Linked DNA regions of Mus musculus: region 2 is reported to be linked to region 1. Evidence: microRNA targets listed by miRTarBase, many of them from high-throughput screens and not tested one by one. Region 1 holds a microRNA gene; the other region holds the end of a gene's coding sequence.

Region 1 (3,000 bases):
TCCATTACTTCAGTCTAATTAACCCCTCTCTCCTACCAGCTACTGCTACTCTAATCCTAGTTTTATCCTGAGGGTTAAGTTTCCTCTGTTGTCATCATCCCTCCTGAATCTGCACCAACTCTCCCAAGAGTTTTTTGTTTTGTTTTTAAGGTTTATTTACTTTTTTATTGTGTGTGTGTGTGTGTGTGTGTGTGTGTGTATACCTGCATGAGTCTATGTGCACCATGTGTACAGAGCCCTCGAAGGCCAGAAGAGAGTGTCTGTTCCCTCTAGAATTGGAGTTACAGTAGTTATGAGCTGCCATATTGATGCTGGGAACCAAACCTCGTCCTCTGCAAGATCAACCAGTGCTCTTAGCCATCTCTTTAGTCCCATCCCCATTTGTAAATGTCTGAGCCATCTTGTTAGGCTCTTTGAACCCAGCCCAGCTCTAGATGTTGGGGAGAAAGAAACTTTTTTCCTAGGAGGGTTTGTAGTTTGCTTCATCACCTTCTGTAAGAGATCACTGCCTTCACTAATATCAGATGTGCTGCTGTACTTTTTTATTTGATCATTTTCAGTCTCCTTTGGCAACATTGCCCAGTCTCCTCTTTTTGCTAGGATGATAAAGCTACAGTGAGATCTATTCACTCTTGTCCTCCTAACAGTGAATATTGACAAGTGTTGAACTAATTAAATTTTTCTTTCCCAAACAGCTTCCTGTTGAGATTAGTTGACGCGCCCATTTAGTGTTCGGTTAAGGAAATTACTGGATTGGTTGCCTTGGCTACCTGTGCAGCTCTCCCCACTTCCAGCTTGAGTCTTCAAGAGGGAGCCTCAGAACTGATTTCTAAAACCAATTGTACTTGGTGTGATTATAAAGCAATGAGACTGATTGTCATATGTCGTTTGTGGGATCCGTCTCAGTTACTTTATAGCCATACCTGGTATCTTAACACCACAGATCATGCCTGTTGATCAACATTGTAAAAGCACAAACTTAAGGTTTCTAAATGGAAATTTAAACTGGTTTAGCATTCTTTTATGATTCTTTTTAACTCACTCACCAGAGGCAGATGTTAACTTAATAATGCTAGTTTTAATTTTGTTGTCTCCTTTTTGTTTATAGATTTTTTAAGCAAAAATAAACTGGTAAACTACTACTCTAATAAAGTGAATAAACCGTTTTGAATACAGTATTATGCAAATATATATTCCATTGAGCTATATTTTTTTCAAAACTTCTGTTACTGAGTTTCTGTTGTGTCTCATCTTGACTGCTAAAGGTAACAAGAAATCAAAACAAGTGTTTCTAATATTTGTTGACAGAGCCTTCAAAAGGTCAGGTCTGGGGTCTCTGCTTGCTGTTTTGAGAGGGTATTTTGTGTTTGGATGCACAATCCTCCTTCATACTCACAAAAGTGACCTTGGTGAGTAGCTGCTCACTCTGACTTAAAACAGGCCCTTGAAGCCATGTGAGAAAAGGACTTGAAAACACAACTGAACCATCCTTGTAATTAACTTATAAAAGTTGTGCCTGTGGGCAGAACTCTGAACAGCTTTTAGGAACTGAAGGTTTTAGGTATCATTATGGGTAGTAGTCCAGAAAGTTGAAACTTGGGCCTGCCTAGAGGATTTGAGTGCGCTGGGCATGGTTAAACAAGGTGGAAAACTAACATAAAACTCAAGTCTGAGGCTAGCCGAGGCAATGTGAGATGCTGGCTCCAAACTGGGTGGGAAAATTGTTGCGTTTGAGCTCCAGAAGTGCCCTGGAAGGAGCTTTACTGTAGACAGAAGACCAAAGTTAGTTTCAAAGGTTGTTGGTAAAAGATGTTGCCGTTCGGCACTTGTCACTCCATAGCCAAGTGTGTGCCCTAAGAAGTACCCTTCTTTCTGTTTCTTAGAGCAGTCCTTGCTCAGCAGTGCGTGTGAGGATGAGTAGTGCAAGGACCACCTGTTCAGACTGTAAATGACAGTGCTTCTCTGTCAGAACTTTCCAGATTGATTGCTATAGAAAGGTTTTCTACTGAAGACTTAACCTGATTTAGTCACAGGTGGCTGCTTTCACAGTGCTTCTAATGCACCGGTAAGGCAGTTTGTGCATTGTTAACACCACAGTTGCTTTATGCGTTACCTGTTTGGAGCACTGTACATGTTCTCATGCCTGTCAGTTTACACAGCTGCAGCCTCATGTCAGTTGAACTGGAATCTATAAACCTTAGTGAAAATTATGGTAATTTCTCTATGGAGCATATGTGTATATTTATTTGATGTGTCTATGAATTTCAGATGTCACTTTAGTCTGTGTATTTGTTTTACATTACAGGCACGGGAGATATTATTGCTGTCATGATAACAGAATTGAGGGGTAAGGATATTTTGAGTTATCTGGAGAAAAACATCTCTGTACAAATGACAATAGCTGTTGGAACTCGAATGCCGCCAAAGAACTTCAGCCGTGGCTCTCTAGTCTTCGTGTCAATCTCCTTTATTGTTTTGATGATTATTTCTTCAGCGTGGCTCATATTCTACTTCATTCAGAAGATCAGGTACACAAATGCTCGGGACAGGAACCAGGTGAGCTAACCAGTACTCTAGCCAGCCGTAATCCATGAGGATCTTGTGATAATACTTGTTTATGTCATATATTTAAAAACAAGACCAACAACAACAAGATAAAAACATGCCAAGTATGGTGCTGTACCCTGTAATACCTGCACTCGGGGTTTTGAGGCCAGTTGGACTACGCAGGCGTTCCAGGCCATATTCTATCTCAGTTTTAAAAAGAAAAAGAAATGAAAGAAAATGTTGTTCTACATAATCACACTGTAACTATCAAAGTCAGTAAATGAATGTCCTTTCAGTACATTTCCTGACCTATCGGCTCTCTCAGGTTCTCCAGAACTGCTTAGAAGTATCCTTAAGGGCAACAAAAACCCCAGATTAGTTAGGCCAGAATGTGTGTTACATTTAGTTGTGCTGTCTCTTTACTGCTTCCTGATACTGGCATCTCAGAAGAGC
Region 2 (3,158 bases), not on the chromosome of region 1:
GCCTGCACTTTGGTGATGCCTCTCAAAGTCATGCCAGAGTCGAACAGAAAAATGCTATACTTCCGGACAAAACTTAATGATAGTTTCTAAGACTGACCTGATGAAAAGCTGTCACAAACCAAAAACTGAAGCATTTCGCAGTTTCCTCTGCTTTGAGGGTATGTGGTTAAGTGCATTGAGTCAGGTTGAGGCCCATCTTGGTCTATGAATGTGGCTTTTGCCAAGAATCATCACCCACAGTGCTGGTGGCAGATGTGTTCATGCTATAAACCAGCATGAGTCCCCTTGCCCTTTGGGAACACAAGTGACAGAGTTCCCTTCCCATCTCCATGTCCACATAACTCAGCGCACTGTGGGGCCTGCAAGGAGAACCTGTAAGAGTCCAGGAATGGGGACACTTCTTTGTGTGCTATTTGTACCTCCAGGTAATCCTATAATCCACCACCTGGAACTGCCCAAGGCATCAAGGACACCTCACACCCTGAAAACCTGCCCCTGCTCTAATGGCTCTCCTGGAAAATGAGCTTTTACCATGTGTCTAAACTTCTCCAAAGTGAATCAACTCAGAAAACAGGGAGGAGATCGATTGGGAGTTTTAAAAAAATGGGCTTCTAGAGTCAAGTGCGGTGGTGCATGCCTTTGATCCTAGCATTTAGGAAGCTAGGTGGATCTCTGTGAGTTTGGGACCAGCCTGGTCTGCTTAGCTGGTTCTGGGCCAGTCAGAGCTCCATGCGCTTCTCTCTCTCTCTCTCTCTCTCTCTCTCTCTCTCTCTCTCTCTCTCTCTCTGTTCTTTCTTATAAAAGTCAATATTTAATTGTTGGCAGGAAGCCCAGCAACACCCATTGTGCTGGAGGAGCTGAGAGTTCTACATCTTCATCCAAAGGAAGCCAGGAGCAGACTCGAGCTTTACTCAACACACACAACACACCCCACACACAGAGAGAGAGAGACAGAGGGGAGATAGAAAGGGGAGAGAGAGAGAGCGAGAGCGAGAGAGAGAGAGATTGATTGATTGATTCTTGTTAAGAACAATACAAAATTACCCACCAATCCAGGACTGATCCCTGTATTTATAATACAGCCATTGCTCTGAGAACCACAACAGAAGAGAGAAGTTTCTGGACAGTGAGGCCAGGTTTCTCAGTGCTAGAGTTTACAACAGGGTCATAGCTACTCAAACCTCTAAGCACCACTTACTTGGCTTATACCCTCCTACTTAGAAAATGATGTTATAGAGCCACAAAGGAGACAAGAAGTGTACAAATCTTCCTAGGAAGCTTGAAATGGAAAAGTCTGACCACCAGGACCAGTCAGACAAACCTGGGATGTAGAGCTAGCTCTAATCTTTACTCTTTCTAAAAGTCTGTGCTATGAAGTAAGAGAAGGAAGACAGGAAAGAGAACACCTGAGAGATGATTTTATATTGAAAACACTAAAGCACAAAAAAAGGCAATAGGTGAGCTAGATTGAAAAGAATTATATAAAGTGATCTGGAAATAAAGAAATTTGAATATAGACAATATGGAATTGTTTGCTTTCCCGGTATAAAACTGCTAGTGTAATTATTTAGGAAAACGTGTTTATTCTTGAGGGATAGCAAGCGAAATTCTAGAAATTAGGACTGAAGTGTTGCTATGTGTTCTCCAGATATTTATGTATCCTTAAATCCATATGTTGGCATTTGGAGATGGGGCATTGAGTGTAGTTGGTGTTAAACTAGGCTACATGGGTGTGGTCTCCCGGATGCTAGTGGCTTTATAAGAAAAGGAAGAGGATTCTCGTCATATGCAGCTGTCACACTAAGGCCCAGTGAGAAGGTCTTCACTAGATGCTAACCAGATATAAGTGCCAAGGTCTTAGGTGTTCTCACCTCAGGAACCTGAACTAAATAAAGTTGCATTCTTTAGGGGTTACTTAATCATAAATGTTCTTTTAATAACAAGAAATGGATTAAGATATAGGTCATGTTGTTTGCAACTTTTCAAATGATTTAGTGAAGAAGTTCTTATATGTATGTACACACACACACACACACACAGAGAAAGAGACAGAGACACACAGAGAGATTAATAGTGACTAATAATGTAGGTGGCAGGTATGTATATAGCCCATGTTCCATTCTTTCAACTCCTCTGTAGAGCTGGAAAACTTGAATAAAAAAAAGTTGGAGGAATTCTATATAGTTAGAATTTATATATAAAGATGGATTTTATATAGTTTTTAAGTTAACTATATTGGTTACTTGTGCACAGTTTTGTTTGTTTTGCTTTTGGTGCTGGGATTGAACCTACATGTACAACCCAAGTGCTTACATCCTTAGCTGCAGTTATTCATTAACAAAACAAAACGAAATGAAACAAGACAAAGCATTAGGTGTCAATAAGGAAGATTCAGCTGAGAAATTTATAACCAGATATGGGCCAGTTCACTTGAGGAGTTCACTGTAGGTTCACATGTCTGTTCTAACGAGAGGCTTCGTGCCTGTGTGTTCCACGTGTTCTGTGCTTTCTCGTAGTGTGCCCTTTTCTGTCCTTCCTGCTGGGTTGTTTTTTCCCAGAACATACGTTTTCTCTGCCATTCTTCTTTACCTCTGAGGCTCTCATCCACTGCTTCAAAGTACGATTGTGCGGGCTGATGCAGATTCTTCTACGTTTAACATGAAGGCTGCCAAGAAAGCGGGAAAAAACGAATCTTTACAGAAATTACAAATATAAGCCAGGTGTGGTGACACGCAACTTTAATCCCAGCACTGGGAAGGCAGAGGCAGGGGGATCTCTAGATACAGGCCACACTGGTCTACAGTGACTTCCAGGACAGCCAGGGCTACATAGAGAAATCCTGCCTGTGACAAGAAAAACAAAAGAATTACAAATACATAAAAGAACTAGTGACTTGTGAGTAGCCCCCACCTTGTGGACATTGCATTTGTAGTGACTTCAAATTGAACACCAAGAGGATAAATTCTTATTTTATAGACATTGTTTCCATTGTCTTCAGATGTCTTCGGAAAGTATTAAACTGAGGACCAGGGAAGGGTAAGTTGGATGAAGAGGAAGAGAACGGGAAAGAGAAGAGAAGGGGGAAAAAGAGAAACAAAGGGAGAAAAGAAAACCAGTAACAGACCCAGGTAAAGTCGTTCACTTCCATGTTTAAACTT

What was found. The annotated mature microRNA mmu-miR-340-5p reads UUAUAAAGCAAUGAGACUGAUU and lies in region 1 at 855-876, shown strand. An mRNA with a match to its seed (bases 2 to 7 or 8) in the 3' UTR can be bound and repressed. Matches are read on the target gene's strand: a 7mer-m8 pairs with bases 2 to 8, a 7mer-A1 pairs with bases 2 to 7 and ends in A, and an 8mer does both.
Region 2: the mRNA of Ccl28 is a reported target of mmu-miR-340-5p. Seed matches in the 3' UTR shown: 7mer-m8 at 2,197-2,203, 7mer-m8 at 1,481-1,487 and 7mer-A1 at 796-802.

What each region holds. Positions count from the first base shown.
Region 1 is chr11:50,068,866-50,071,865 of GRCm38, forward strand. It overlaps Mir340 (microRNA 340), which reads left to right and starts at 837; the gene lies at 837-934. Rnf130 (ring finger protein 130) reads left to right here. Exons shown (of 9, transcript NM_021540.4): 3 at 2,306-2,556.
Region 2 is chr13:119,650,372-119,653,529 of GRCm38, reverse strand. It overlaps Ccl28 (chemokine (C-C motif) ligand 28), which reads right to left. Exons shown (of 3, transcript NM_020279.3): 3 at 1-2,665. The coding sequence ends at 2,464. Among named protein-coding and RNA genes, the nearest start is that of 1700074H08Rik, 28 kb to the left of the region's middle.